2 linked regions of the Drosophila melanogaster genome follow. The protein of the gene in region 2 binds, or shares a complex with, the protein of the main gene of each other region. Each region holds a gene or a part of one and is shown on either strand. Other genes may lie near its edges.

Evidence for each region.
Region 1: the proteins of rdgC (region 2) and Cam are in contact, whole or in part, in a crystal structure (PDB 8ZLW), measured with the Drosophila melanogaster proteins. Residues at the interface, in NP_788546.1 of Drosophila melanogaster: Asp2, Glu3, Asn4, Ala5, Ile6, Arg7, Ala8, Ala9, Ile10, Phe11, Ile12, Gln13, Lys14, Trp15, Tyr16, Arg17, Arg18, His19, Gln20, Arg23; in NP_001246276.1 of Drosophila melanogaster: Glu12, Glu15, Ala16, Leu19, Phe20, Leu33, Met37, Leu40, Met52, Glu55, Val56, Phe69, Met72, Met73, Arg75, Ser82, Glu84, Glu85, Ile86, Glu88, Ala89, Val92, Phe93, Ile101, Leu106, Val109, Met110, Leu113, Glu115, Lys116.

What each region holds. Positions count from the first base shown.
Region 1 is NT_033778.4:12,257,514-12,264,561, forward strand, and holds the start of Cam (calmodulin), read left to right. Parts: upstream 1-1,884; 5' UTR 1,885-1,945; intron 1,946-2,518; exon of another isoform or gene 2,519-2,526; 5' UTR 2,527-2,672; coding exon 2,673-2,675; intron 2,676-2,762; exon of another isoform or gene 2,763-3,300; intron 3,301-7,030; exon of another isoform or gene 7,031-7,048. Other genes in the region: Vha36-2 (vacuolar H[+] ATPase 36kD subunit 2), read left to right, coding at 1-366, 442-1,038. UniProt on the Drosophila melanogaster protein: Calmodulin mediates the control of a large number of enzymes, ion channels and other proteins by Ca(2+). Among the enzymes to be stimulated by the calmodulin-Ca(2+) complex are a number of protein kinases and phosphatases.
Region 2 is NT_037436.4:20,244,151-20,253,217, forward strand, and holds the start of rdgC (retinal degeneration C), read left to right. Parts: upstream 1-3,929; 5' UTR 3,930-4,175; intron 4,176-4,477; exon of another isoform or gene 4,478-4,910; intron 4,911-9,067. Other genes in the region: CG6951 (uncharacterized protein), read left to right, coding at 17-427, 788-988. UniProt on the Drosophila melanogaster protein: Phosphatase required to prevent light-induced retinal degeneration.

The sequences.
Region 1 (7,048 bases), on a different chromosome or scaffold from region 2:
CAGGACATGCACGGCGATGAGGCGATGCGCAATGCCATATTCTCGATGGCAAAGGCCAATCTTCTGGGCGCCGATTTCAAGCCGCAGATGGTAAGCCGCAGCCACGTGGCAACCGTATCGCTACGCCGCACGGAGATCAAAATTGTGGGCGTCAAGCTGAACACCCTGGAGCTGGAGACGAAGGGCGTGGGCGCTTTTCCGCTGGCTGGTCTCAGCTGTGGCGGTATGCAAGTGAGCCGAATCAGGGACTCCTATACGAAGGCACTCAAGGCACTGGTGGAGTTCGCCTCTCTGGAATACCAAGTGCGAATGCTGGAGGCAGCCTCGTTGCAGACCAACATGAGGGTCAATGCTCTGGAGCATGTGGTAATTATAATTAATTCATATGATCCATATGTTATCATGGATAATCTTCAATAAATATCACTTTGTATCCGCAAGGTAATACCCATCCTGCAAAATACCTATAACTATATATGCGGCGAGTTGGAGGAGTTCGAGCGCGAGGATTTCTATCGCCTGAAACGCTCCCAGGCGAAGCAGCTGGAGGCCAAGATGGCCTTCACCGAGCTGATCAAGACCAAGAACATGACCGACGAGGAGCTGGAGACCTACATAAAGCGAAACATAAATCAGACGCGTCCTCCAGCGGCCGACACACCCTTCGATCAGGAGCAGTTCGAGGAGCGTGAGGTGAAGCGGCGCATGCGGGAGGCCCGTCTGTCCCTAAAGCAGCGCCGCGAGCAGGAGAGAAAGGAGGCCATCAAGCGGGGCGAGCCCCCACCGCCCACATCCTTCATCACCACCCACGGAGCCTCGTTGAGTTTCGCTGGTCGCCAGCGGGATCCGCGAGCCAGCAGTGGTGATCTGTACAGCACCAAGCGGATGCTCCTCTCCTCCGGACCGGAAAGGAAGTCCGCCAGTAATGTGACCGAAAGGAAGTCCGATACTCCTCCGCGTAATAGCCAGGAAACTCAGCGCAGATCCAGCCAGATGTCGAAAGATGTCGTAAATGAAGATCCACCCGAAGAAAGTTAGTTAATCGGACTCACAAATCCAAAATCTAAAGTTGTCCAAAAATTCTTAATTATTTTTAATATGGTGTGCAAATAGAAGATTTATTTTAGGTGATCACTTCGAAAAAGTATAGCAATTTCAGTCGAAAATCGAAAAATATATGGAAAAATTTACCGTCATTGTTATTAATAACGTATACGTATGTAATTTCTGTCTGCTGTATAATATACATGTGTATGTGTGTATGTTAATTCCCCATCATATGCAATGGCAAATGCTATATGTTTGCAACAGCTGACTTTACAGTTCGTTTTTTTTTAACATCGAATGTTAGTTTAACATTTACGTTAACATTTATCCGTTAAGAATAAAATTTGCAACATTTTGAAGTATATTTTTGTCAATTAAAATTTGAACTTAAAAATCGAAGAACTGTTTACATAAACATAAATCACAACCGGTAATTAGAATAAACGGACAATAAAAAAGACATTTGTTTATATAGATGTACATATGTGAGTACATACATAGTTGATTCATTTTTTTCTATTACTGCAAGGGCAAACCTATGCATAAGTTTATTTTTGCAGAAGCTAGCTTCCTATTATTTATAACTTTAGTTACCTGTAGTATGTTGATACAATTTTTGTACACACCTATTTTCGCGAAAAGCGCCGGCGCGACCGTTACAACGGCGAAATCAAACTTATTTTCGCTTTACGAAGGTGAGTGGATAAGCAACAGAAACAAACACATGCAGACGCTGCCGCTGCAAAAGCGAACTTACCCGGTTCGTTCTCGCGAGAGCGAGAGCGGTTATTGCTATTGCTGCTGGCAAAATAAAACCGTATATATGGCGACGCAGCGCTATTTTGAACACAAAGTTTTGAGTCGTCGACCGTTGCGGACGGAAATTCAGATTAGGATCGTGAGTTGTCAGAACAAACAGACCAGACATTGCATATAGAGAGCAGTATTGGGCCAACAAAAAAAAAAAAAAAATACAAAAAAAGCGAAAAGAGCCCACACCCAAGCACCAGGAGCTGCGAACGTTTCGCGGAAAAGCCAATTTCTCAGCGCCAGCCAAAAATCAAGAAAACCAACGAGCAAAAAATTAAACAAATATCTTTATAAAAACCGAATTCGAGCAACTCTTATATGTATTAGCTCTCCCCGCCATATATCTACTATATAAACGAGAATTCTGCCGTGTGCGCGCGTGTGTTTGGCATATTTCGCACAATAGATGAAAAAAAAAACGAATGAAAGCCACAAAAAAATAAAGAAGAAACGCAAGGCGAAAATTTGTATTAAATTCGGCTGAAGCAACAACACTAAAGAAATTTCAGAAACTGCCACGGCGAGAAAAAAAAGCGTCGGCGTCGGTGCTTTGGACGGACGCTTTTCTTTCTCTCCAAGCTGGCAGTAGTTTTTCTCCTCAGCCTCTTCCACCTCCAGTTGACCCCCCGAAAGTAATACCCAACAAACCTCTTCTTGCTTCTTTTGCAGTGTGTTAATTTAGTAAAATATAAAGTTAACCGCGCGTTCCGTAATTCCACTCACACACATACCAACACCCAAGCAGCAGCAGTAGCCGCAGCGGATTAAAACTTCGTCACTCTAGCAACAAACAGAAAAAAAAAACACCTACAAAAATGGTAAGTTTATGGGGCTGGAGAACATGTGCATCTTTATTTTCTGTTTACACAACCTGCGGCCATCATTTTCCATTGAAATTTCCACAGTTTTTGCGAAAAATCAAAGTCAGACAGCGACCCCCAGGGCTATTGCCATTAGTGCGAGCGGGAGGAGCGAATCGCTTCCAATTAGACGTTGTTTATATGGTTTTAACGGCTTTTCACACACACACACTCGCTACACACATCCCAGCACACCAAACACCCCGTCGAAAAGCAGCTGTCCCCGGGAAATTCGTTTACATTTTGCACCCCAAAAATATATCGCCTCACGGGTAGAAAAAACCAGTTTTTTCAACAACCCAATATCGTTGATTTAGAAACAAGAAATTGCGAACACCATGCAACCCCTTGAAAATATGGTAGTTTATACCCCTTTCACAATGAAACATAATCAAAATCCATAAAACTGCATTGAGAAAAAGTGAATGCAATCATTTGAAATTAAGTTTATACTTAAACTAGTATATTTAAGCTGCAAGATTTTCATGTTCTTAACCTGACTTAATCAAATGTTCAACTTTGGCCCCTAGGGTCACAGAAAACAAGCAGCACAATTAAATAGCAATGCCAATAGCAAGAATTTACACACATGTCACGTCACTCGTCAAAATTATTATTTATTTTATCAAGGCTGTCGCACACGGAATGTTGACGCGATCGGGTTCGCCCTATAATAATTCCATGACGTTCGGGTAGAAATACCCCTGGAAACCCAATCAGGCGTGGAAAAGTGGAAACTCTTATCAGCATCTCGAGCAACACCTCATTTTCGAAGCCCCCCTGCTTGCCCAACCCACCACCACCATTTGGGATCATAAATCAATGTGATTTTAGCCAATTTGTTGAGCATTTATGCACACACACACTCGCATTCCTACATAGACGCGTTGCCATCGGCACTTTTATCAGCAATTTTTCAAAGATCCCCGCAAATAATAGAAAAGCGCCCTCCATTTTGCTTATCAGTGGAAAATGTGTGAATATATATTGATGATGAACAACAAAGTCGCCGGTCCCGGCATTATTGGCCTCTCCTCTTTGCCCCGCCGTTCGTTGTTCGCTTGTTCTTTGCTTTCTGGTTGTATTTTTTATTTACCGCACACTTGGCCGCAAAAATTGAGGTTAGACACGGCCCCATGGAAATGGTGAAAAAATTCTTTAGAGGCATTTCTCCTGCTCTTGCGCTCAGCTTAACCGTTTCGACGCTCTCTCGCATAACCGTTTCACACACTTTCTCGTCTCTCTCTATGTGCAATTATTTCGTTTGCGTTATCAGTTCCGTTTTGTGCTGCGTCTCTCTCTTTCCGTTTCTTTCAGCATTTCATTTTTTTTTGCGCCTTGCGCTTGTCACTTTTATCGGCGCCTGCCTTTTCTTGTTTTCTTCCATAACCGTTTCATTTGCCGCATTGCGGTTATTTTGCTGTTTCGCCTTCGCCTTGGTTCGTCCGCTTCGGTCGTTCATTCGTTCGGCTCCGCGTATTCGTATTCGTGTGCGTGTGAGTGAGCGTATGGGTGTGTGTGTTGGCGGCTGCCTGTTCCACTTTGCCTTTTCGCGCAAGAATTTTATTGTAACGGCACAGGCGAACGATGGGGGAGGAGGAGCGCTGCAAATGAAGAAAAATTCCTGCTAGACGCCGCCGCTTAACCACATAATCCAATTTTCTTGCCGCCCTCTTTGCGCTTTCTTCTCTCGTTCGTTTGCTTTCCTCTGCGCTTTTTGATAAGAAAGCCCCACGCCCACTGCGATGCCCACACCCGCGCCACACCTTCTTTCAGCCTCATCTGGTGTCGCCTAATTTAATTAGCGATTTTACAGCTCACGCAGAATGCAAACAGCTTTTAATTAAAATATATCGCATCGCTTTCTACGTGGCCAATTTGTTTCAGTGATTCAACCAACGCTGCTAACTTGGCCCAGAAGCAAACATTTGCCAAGGGTTTTACTGACTGATCTTCAAAGTTTGTTGATCTTTAGCTCGGCTAATTATGAGATACGTTTGTCTGTATATCTTATTTGTTTCCGTTGAAAATGAGCCAACATTCATATAAATTTCCATGAGTCACTGTGTTCCTGGGCTGACTTCATCATATGATCATATGGCCTATGATGAATGCCCGATGATATGTGTGTGTGTCATGTTAATAATGGCAAATGACTGGCTTATGGCTCAGTTAGCACAGTTGTTTGGATCCCGGTGCGAATGCACTTAAATTGTACCCAAAAACCAAGCTCTCAATCTAACCGTCATTCATAAAACCAAACTAAACTCCATGAAACCGGTTGAGACCGGCAAAAAAAAAAAAGCGTCGGCTATACAACGGTAAACCCGGCAAACTTGGCTTTAACATAAAGCCGCATAATTTCAGCCAAGACCTGTTTTAATGTTGTATTTAACTGTCAAACTCATTGGAAGAAATAGTTTTATTCAGCAGAACTCGTTTGTGAATTTATAAATGATTCAAGCCCAAGTGTATTAAAATTATTGTTATCAAAATGTATTCATAAGTATGAATAATATTTGATATCATATTATTTGCAAGTGAAAAGTGATGATCTTGAACTAACTACTATACAATGACCCATCCAATGAGTCACTACCTTAAAAAATGACGGACAAATCCCGATAAATATACGCACAGCTTGAGTCCTGATCCCCCAGGCATACATTTTCGGAAGGCACTGTATTTGCCTTGGATGTGGAAGCTTCCTCGGGACGTCGTGGGCGTCTGATTGTGCATACAAATGGATTACCAATTAGGCATTAGCCAGCCCCCCACTCGATTAACGACCTCGCCCGATTGACTGCCATTAATGGATATCATCGGTGGGTGGGGTTTTGCTCATGTTGTTGATTGCAAATGTCGCCATTTGAAGACAGGAGGGCTTCAATTTGCTTTTCAACAGATTGGGGATCTGCATTTCGATGGGTGTTTCTCATTCGGTTTCTGTTTCTGGCTTAGTCATGCTTGCCAATGACATAACCCAGTTGAAAAGCGTTTTATCTGCCCCAGAGTACGCCAAGATAAGCTGGGCAAATTCAATTGAACGCCAACGCGACAAAAAGTGCAAATAAAACAGGTGCCACCAACGCGTTGCCGTTACCAAATTTGCTTGTATTCGCTGTTTAAACTCACCGAAATTCCCCCGATTAGATAAGGTCAAGCAGGGCGCTATAATTCCAATGCCAATTGCTGATTTGGCTTAAAGCGAGTGGGTTTCTGTTCTGTTCCATTTTCCTTGCCGAACGGAAGTTGTCCATAAAGGCTGGTCAACACGACATGTCTGAGAGCCAAGTTTGTTGTGCCATTTTTCAGATTTGGGGTATCTTTTGGCCTTCAAGTTGAGGTGCCCAATTCGGTGGTAACCAAGGCGATTGATTAGATAGGGCGAATTGGTTCGTGCTAGGGAAATTCACATAAATTAACTTGGTTTTCAACAGTTCAGAGTAATAAGTATAGACTAGATTGGCAGTAGCTATTATTAAACGAAGCAAATTAAGTTGTTATTACATAGGATCGCTCAACAAACAACTCTATATATATAGTTTAGTATAGTTTCCATATAGCAGAGCTTTCAGCAGTTATCAGCTTGAACAAATATATATAAATATATAGTATAAGTCATCCTATGACGCAGGCGAAGTTTGCTTTTGCATTTTTGCTTCATGATTAATAACAATTATCGCAATTCAAACCGCAGGCCTTATATTATACTCGTTAAATTCTTTGGCTTATCGCCGTAGAGCGAGTTGCACAAATAAACAATCATTTTCGGCCGTAAAACAATAACAGTAACAGTAATAGGTAGACGGGAATTTAATGTGCCCGCTTTTTTGCTTTTGGTGCTGCAACATTAGACCCTGAGAATCGTTTTTGGCCAGAATGACCGACCGGCTCCTGTGAAACTGACAACTCGCACGTCTCTTGTCACATATATGTATGTATATATGTATGTGCATCATTCGCATGACAATAATAAATTTTGGTTTTGGGTAACGCAGCCATCTCCACTCCTCGGTTCTTTGGAGCTTCCCCCCTACGGGGTCTTTCTTGATTATTCAGTCGCCGCTGACGTCAGGTTTTGTTGATTCAGCGGAAACTTAACACCTTTTTCAAGACACCAGATATATATATATATATGTAGAAATATTATAAACATACCTAGATACAGATACAATTGTATCTGGACTTGCCTGGCGACGGGCGGGCAAACAATACGCAAAATTATTCAAATTAAACACAATTGTTCTCTCCCTTCTCGTCTTTTGTTATTCCCGATTGTGTTCACTTGGGTAGTTTTTTGTGTTGACATTGAAATTCCATCGAGATGC
Region 2 (9,067 bases):
TACTTGTTTTGCAGAAATGGCTGAAGTTTCCGCTCAAGATTTGATATCCCAGTTGTCGAAGTCACCCGAAAGCCACAAGAGAAAGGAATATCTGCATTGGGATGACTACTTTATGGCCACCTCACTGCTCTCCGCCAAACGCAGCAAAGATCCCGTCACCCAAGTGGGCGCCTGCATCGTGGATTCCCAGAATCGGATAGTGGCCATTGGATACAATGGGTTCCCTCGCAACTGCAGCGATGACGTGTTTCCGTGGTCAAAAGCTAAGAAAGGCTCGCAGGAATTTGATCCCCTGGAAGACAAGAAGATGTACGTGGTCCACGCGGAGGCCAATGCAATCCTGAACAGCAACGGCATGAGTTTGTCTGGAACTCGACTGTATACCACACTATTTCCGTGCAACGAATGTGCCAAACTCATTATACAGGTAAAACTAATATTAACGAAGGAAGCCGAATATAGGATTTCTGTTCTATTATTTGAAATGCAACTTTAATATTTTCATATGGCAGCTGTATAATTTAGTCGTCCTATTTTGATAAAATGAAAAACGAATTAATATATGGAAAAACAACGGTTGTGTACAAAATTACACCAATATATGATCACAAACATGGAAGCACAATCTTTCCAATAGTTTCACGGCTTCAAAAAGGTTTTAAGTTTTTCGTTAAAACGAAAGGACGACCAAACGGACGGCAGCTTTATGAACTCATCTTCTAAAATTGATCAAGAATATATAGTACATACATATCATAACATATAAATTAACCTATTTGTATTCCAGGTGGGCATATCTCAGGTGCTATATTTGTCCGACAAATATGCCGATAAGCCCACATATCGTGCATCCAAGCGGATGCTGGATGCAGTGGGCGTGGAATATAAGCGACACATCCCCCAGAAAAAAACGATCACCATTGATTTTGACACCTTCCCGGAAGAAGATCCGAATGCATCCCTGGGACTAAACGAACTCCATTTGTAATGTACTAATACAATCTTAGCTATCTTGACAACTTTTAATGTGTTTAAAGTAAATTTGACGTGATCGGACTAAATATGTAGACAAATGATAAATAAATTTAATAGCATGCTAATTAAGTTATACTTAGTTTGGCAGTACTAATATAAATAAAAAAATACAGTTTAACTAAAAAGCAAAACGTAAAACGATGTTCTTTTCTATCTGTGAGTCAGAAAAATGCTTCGGAAAATGAGTTCCCTGTAATCGATATTAAAATCAAAATCCAGTAAATCATTGAATCTGACCACTTCCTTTGACGTTTGTTCAAATATGTTCGTAAAAGTATAGTCAAAATCAAAAGCAGAACTTATCTAGATCCCAAAACGTACATATTCTAACCTAATAGGGAATAAAAAACAATAGTTTTTCGTTGAGTATTGCTCCTTTTTTGCAGAGCATAAACGATTAGACGCTTCATTTTATCCGCACGCAAAGATACTTAAAATGTTTTTTAATTAGTACCCATTTGGGAAGAGTGTTCACTTGCACTAATTGACTTGGCAAACAGAAGACTGTCAGGTGAGACTCTTAGCATGCACAGGTGTCCACCGGAGACCAAAAGCGCCATGGAAGTGCTCTACTCAGGTAAAAGTACATGGTATTTTCATATTGAATCTTGGAATTAAATCCCATAATTCATTCCTAAAAAGTTAAATTAATAATTATACTGATCGAAAATTAAAAACAGGGTATATGTGTAATGGAAACTACTCTGTGCCACTTTATAGCTCCGTAATTAAAGGACCTTGAAAATTCTATTGCTGGCCCACACATTAAATTAATTAAGTTAGCCACTTTTGAACTTTGATGTTGTGTTGGCTAAAAATTCGCATGCAGCCATTTTAAATACCGGGCTGAGCAAAATGTTTATGGGATGTTTTTCAATGGCATGCCAGCACGAAGGAGCTCCCACCTGACCAACCAGCCAACCAGGCCATTCAGGTGAGAGTGGCGTGCGGCCAACCGGCCAACCGGCCATTAGCACTGGAATATGCAAAACAGTGCGCGAAACAGGACGAGGATGCCAATAAGAAGAACAGCGAGGATACTCGACCTATCGGAAATCGCCGAGTGACCCTTACTAGCCTCCATGCACTATTGTCTGCAGGCTGCATTGAAACGTGTCCGGCGGATTTCAATATCGGGCCACAAGGTAAGAACCGGTTATGCAGAGAAGATGGGTCAAGCTGGCTGGTAAAGTAAAGTGTTTTATTGTTGAGGTGGAAAACGAAGAATTAGAGTTTTCGTCTATTTGACTTACATTATTCTTTCCTACACCTAAACTAACTCAACAATTCCACTAGCTAAAATCTTTCCGGCTTAAAGAGTTCTGAAGAAGTGGAAGTCTAAGGAACAACACGGACGACCATCTAATCGTGTATCTTAGGCATGTAGAATCAGGGGATTAGTATCTGAAAGGCTGTGTATCTTCATCTGGCCCGGCTTCTTGTTTGTATTTGTATGCATAGAATGCAGACAAAGTTTACCAATTGCAACGGAAACTTGTGCCGCACGCACATCTGCTAACTGAATTTGAAGTGGGACCGAGCATTCCGTAATCACTAATAGCAGGTTAGCCGCTCTGGGCCCTAATTGCCATTAAAGTTAAAGCTACGACCAACGAAAACCCCAAAATCGTGAAACCACCGTGAAGGAGCAAGGGGACAGCACTCATTTTGGGGCTTTCGTGAGTTTCAGCTACAAAATCCCCTCGAGGCCGGAGCCCCAAAATCACACAGAATGGCCAACGGAAGGCTTGGCGGCACTTGGACTATTAAAACACATACGAGTATACGACACCCCAAAGGCCATGGAACCGAGCAAATAATCAATATAACTACAAGAACGGAACCATAACAGAGCTCTGGGTTTTGTGTAACGATAGTGGAACATATCAACAGAATATCAAGTCACACGGCGCACTTGTTGGTTATAACCATCGATCCTCTTCTTTTCTTTTTGCAAACAGGTGCCAGAAATGCTCGGCTGAATATTGCAAAATTCATTAAATAGATAATTATAATATTACATCTGCAATTGATTCCAAGATATTATATCCCATGAATCTTGTACATATATGAAGTAGTTTTTTAAGCGTATTTAAGTCTATCATTTTCATATTACTATTTTTATCATAAATTTTAAAACTTAAAAAAAGGAATAATATCGAATGATGAAATACTTTTTCGTTTGTTCAACAATTAAAGATGTACATACGTATCTTGAAGAAGAAACCCCTTTAATCTAAAAAAAATCTGTCTTAATGGCTTTTTGTTGATTCCCCTATTTAGTATTACTTCTTCTTTCCCAAACAACCAGCATCAGCCGCACGTCTGGTTGAAGTTTTAACTGGAAGATGCATATCATAAATTCAAAATGCAAACACGAGGACGTTATCAAACTTGGCATCTTTGGATTAGCATCGCTGCTCTGCTCGCTCTCTGGGTTGCACAGAAAGAAAAATATTGATTGATTTCACAAATGGCTGTTATTCAAATACTAACCATTTACATTTGGTTTCATATTTATGTTGCCTTTTCCTTTAATACTAATTACGCAGATGAAACAATTGCGAAATTCGTTAACAATTTAAGGAATAGATATACCCGTGCTATTTCCAGTGTAGATGAAATGGATAGAAGAGAGCGAGAGAGCCGTGCGCAGCCTCCGCTGCAAAATGAACGGGAATGGCAATGAAACGGGGCAATCAGCTGATGCGGCCATCGCTCTTTGTTTTGCTTTCGGGCAGCATGGCGATGGCGGCGAATATGGCGAGAGTGGGAGCGAGTGAGAGGTCGGCGGCGACGCCGGCCGTGGCAGCAGCAGAGCCTTTGGCAGCGACGGAGGCAGCAGCGGAGGCCAAAAAGGATTTCCGAGCTTGTGGCCTGCGTTCAGTTTGTAACGGTATTCCACGCGCCACGGACGCTCGAATAACAAAACGTCGCGCTCCCGACGATCCGTACCCGTACACCAGTACGTATACGTAATGCTCTCCGCACAGAACGCGCTATTTCCGAACCAAAAGCAGCATATGCCTTTGCCATCCCTCCTCTCCCGTCTTTTGTGTTCTTCTGGTTATATCTGTCACCGCGAGAATTTTTGTGTGTGGCTTCATTTAATGCCTTTTGCCGCCTTCTAGATGACATATGTATGTATATGTACATTTGTATATGCATGCATGTACATATCTTATTGTCATCGCTGTTTATCTCTCTTTTGGACCGACCAATTTTCTGTGTTTGTTTACGCTCACGCCTTCATGTTATGGCCACTTGTGCCGCTGGCACGGAATGGTCGCATCCTTAGTGCCGACAGAACTTTCCAACCGAATGGCTTTTTTTATTCGCGCTCTTCCGTTTAGTGCGTCGTTTTGCTAAATTACTAACAAATTCCACGCATTAAATCGGATCAGCAAAAAAAAAGTAAAATCGACCGGCGCGGCGGATGGGAAACACTCGAAAATATACTCACATACAAATGTACATATATGCGAAAGAACATGCATTTCCATACGTTCTATACACACATGTATAAATAGTACTGCTATCAAATGTACACCGAAAAGAAAAGCTGTATTCTATGAATTCAAATAATGCAAAATAAGCTGAAGGGAGAGTTCGTGTTTCTACTTCTTATTTTAAGATATTTTAGCATATTCCATATATTCCAGTCAATTTTTTTAAATGATCCATTAGAACAATTTACAAAATAAAAACTGCTACAAACTGAAAATGTTTTTAGAAAAAAATGGTGTCACTTTTTCGGCCCAAGATATATTTCGTGGTTTTTTAACTTATGTTGCCAAAGAGAAGGTCTGGTTGAATGGAAAAAATAACACGGAATGAAATCGAAGGCGATGACAGCTAGCAGACAAAGAAATGAGGCAAGGAGCAAATTAATAATATATAAACGATTCCATTACAATCCAGAGGTGTTTGCCATATGAATTACTCATGATATTTTGTGTTTCACACGAGTAAGCGCAATATTTGTCTAGTCCACTTATCCATTTGCCTGTTCGTATGTTTATTACGTATACGACAAGTATTCTGCTAAGATACAAGTATGTATATTTCTTACCCATTTGGCGGTGTGAAAACTTTTTTCGAAATTGAGGACACACAAGTGCAGTGTTTTTAAAACAAACAAGGAAAAGCAATAACAAAAGACTAAGCAGAGCAGACTAGGGGAAAAATGTAAATTAAAAGCATTGGGCTACTCAAAGGTGATGAAATTTCAGAGAAATACTTTAAGTGACTTTAGTGAAACTATCATTTGTACAAATTTATTTAAGCAAACAACATAAAGCTTTTAATATATTTATCGAATTTCTATTCAAGCTTAGACAATTTCTTGATGTTTGTTTGAACTATTATTATTGAATTTTTCGTTACATTCAAGGCACATTCTCTATTTCAAGAATATTTCTAGAATCATTGGTTTACCTTATTGGCCCAATCAATAGTATGTAGATTTCTACGGCCAATTTGTATAGCAATTAAAAGAAGAAATTCTGACATTCCATACCCGTAAACCCAACTTAACTTGAACGCAATTTGTTATGATACAAGAATAACACCGAAACATGGAAGTGTTCATAAAAACAAATGCACGGACACGTTTGTATGTATGAATTGAATGGGGGATTGAATCCGAGTTGGAATTTATTAGGTCCCTTACCGTGTGCCCGCTTCCTTGTACCACATTCATAATTTGGGGCCACCTGCCCACTCGGATTTGGGCCAATTGGCGGATGGCGGGTGGCGTACGGCTGGAGGATTAGCAACCGCCCAACTCCTGGAGGTTGTAAAAGTGACTGAATGGGAATGAGTTTTATGTGCCTCACAGGCAACAAATCTCGATGACGTCTGGCATTTGATTTCGAGCCTTTTTTCCCTTCGCTCTTTGTTTCCTTGGGATTTAGTTGCTTTTATTCGTGATTTCGTTTATTTTTCCCACAGTTCGGTTGAGTTGCTTTTTATTTTTTCGCACGAATTCCCGGCGGTTTCTTTTTTGGTAGTCGCACGCCAGCAGCCCCAAAAATTCTCACCACTTCCGATTAAATTTTTTTTGTTATGGCTTTTCCGTTTCCGTATCCCCAGTTTTCCACGGTCACCGAAAAACTCGTAAAGAGCAGCTCCTCGGAGTTCTTGTTTCTGGTGTTTTCTTAGCACGAAATGCCAATTTAGAGTCATTTAAATTGGGTAGAAAGTTGCGGCAAGAAAAGTCTGCCCACAGTCCACAATGTTGGCTCGAATTAAGTCGGGTGTTCGAAAGTTTTGTTGCCAGTCGACGGAAATCGGACTAAAACCGAAAAGCAATTAACTTAAGGCTGATAACCAAGATGCTTTTGGTAATAACATACATAAGTACGGATAAATTGGAAAATAATTACAAGTTTTGGGAGATACATCTTCCTGAAATTTAAGCTTTAAAAGTATAAAAAAGTTATTTACTGCCATAATTTCTTATGTTTATTATTTATTACTTTAGATACGCACACTCTTACCACGCCTGTATTGTATTTTCAAATGAAATGGCAAATTTTTAAAGCTGTACCAAGATATATATATTAAGGTGTATTTAATTTAAAGTTTTGAAGTTTTAGGCTTGGGATTGAAGTAATAACAATCCAATTAGTTGCATCAAACCAAAAAGCAGAAGGGTATTAGAAGAATAGCGGATGGAACTTAAACCAATCCCGCACGATGAGTAACCGTCGCTAAATGCGTTTACCCAAACAAGATAAGAAATTTAAAACTCTTAACGAAAATCGATTAAATTAAGCAGTTTAGCTTCCATCCCCCGAGGAGCCGAGGTGCCGTCATTTTCACGCCTGATTTGTTAACCAAAACGATGGCATAAGGTCGGTATTCGGATACTTTTCCATGGCAATTAAGCCGCAGTGTTGGCTCACATCTTTTGCGCTACACTGGGAGAAAAGCTCTCTCCTCGCCATTCCTCCTCAAACACATTTGCACCTACTCGCACGGAAACCATAAACGTTTCCCACTTTTAGACTCGTTTTACAGCTCTTGAAATATATCCTTTTCATCGAATCCTTCTCTTAAATTTCATAGTCATCGTGAAGAAAGGAATATAAAAGCTTTATTTCAGAACCTCAATCAACGGATTGCCTCATAAGCGATGCAATCGAGCTCAAGCATATTTCAAATATACTCTTTCTTAAAGTGCCAACTCATCTTTTGCATATATGGTATATTCTTTTTCGAGTGTATTTGGTGTGAATAAATCATGTTTCTTACAGCTGGCTAGAAATTCTAGTCCATATGGCTGTAGGTGTCGGCGCCCAACGCTCAATCTGCGTTAATTCCCAATTTGGTTTATAAATAAAAGAACAAATCGGTCCTTAACGATGACGAGCATCGGCATCCGAGCTGACATCATTCCAAAGTCGTTAAAACTGCCGCCCTGTTAATGGCTACCCCAAAGGAGATTTCGGGTAGTAAAAGTGCAAAATTGAACGGAACACCTTTATGGGCAGCGCGTGAAGCGGCAATAGGTCCTTGCAGGTCCTTCGGATCCCTACCTATTACCATATATATACAACTAGTACCACGTGCCCTCTTACAAATTGACTGGGGCAACTTAATTAGTAGCGTAGGCAAACTAAATTACCTGTCGAAGAATTTGAGTGAATCAACTTCACGACTGACCTTGTGAGTGCCCGTAATTAGCTCAACAATTTGCAACGAAAAGAATGAAATCAAATTAGCAACACACTCTGCGAAATTGGCACTAATGCAAACTGTTTTTAATGCTTTTATCTCATGAAACAGAATGCAGTTTTGGGCATCATTTGCTGGCTACCAATTTAAAATGTCGAAACTGACAACGATGATTTCAAGGGAAGTGTTTTTAATAGAAAGAATAAATATTAAGTGCTATGCAATCACGAAACAATAAACGAGCATATGAATATTGACATATTTATTGTTCAACTTTATTGATAATTGAATAGATGCATAAACTCATCCAGAAAAATTGGGAACGACAAAAAACCGAGCTTACTCATTCTCGTGAAATGAAACTTTCTCAATTTCGAGACGAAAACGATCTCAATGCTGATATTGATATATGATATATGATATATGATATATGATATATGATATATGATTGCTCTCATTTGCAATATGAGAATGGTTTAATCTCGATCTAAGTATTTGAGCATGTTTCGATTTTGGCTAGATTCTGAAAGCGACATACTCAAACCAAGATCGTTATAAAGCGGTTTTTCTCTGAATGAGTACTTAAAATAATAAAGTACTCAGTTGAAATACGTTAAATTAAATTTCCCTTTGGGAAAACAAAGGCCAATCGAAATGGTTTATCTTTCGTCTCCAATGTGCTGGGTTTCAACACCCCCCTCCCCCCAAATTTTAGATATTAAACAAATGGCTGTTTGCCCGTACATTTATGCAGCCACCGGCTCTCACCGACTTGAAACATTATCTTCAGTAAATACTAACTTAATTGCTGCCGGACTCCCATTCCCGTAGGCGATGTTTGCGGAACTGAAATGAACCGAAATGCGGGCAAATTTACTGATTGTCACACAGGCTGACGTGCAATTTATCGTAATTGAGTCAGGGCAACAATCATTTTTTGATCGCTCCACACACACGCACACACACTCGCACACACTTGGGGAAAATGCTGGAAAGTGGGTGGGTGGTAAGAGTTGGGTGATGTCGAGAAAACCTCGATGACTTGGCAGGACCCATTACGGCCAGTGTCCGTTTCCTGCTCTTTGCCATGGGATTAATGGACAAATAACGCATTCACGTCTGTAAATGTGCCGGCGGATAATCCCATTATCTCGGAGTCTTGACCCCACACATCCGGACTTCGACTGGAACGAACGGAAGGCGGAAATTGGCCACTAGGCTGCGGTAATTGAAATAAATCGAGTTGGCCATTGGCCCTCAAAAGTAGGCTTCGAATCGATCAACTTGGCCTAAAAACCTTTCTCGTCACTGCCAACTGCATTAACTAGGTTATATCTGCGGGTTCTGGGTC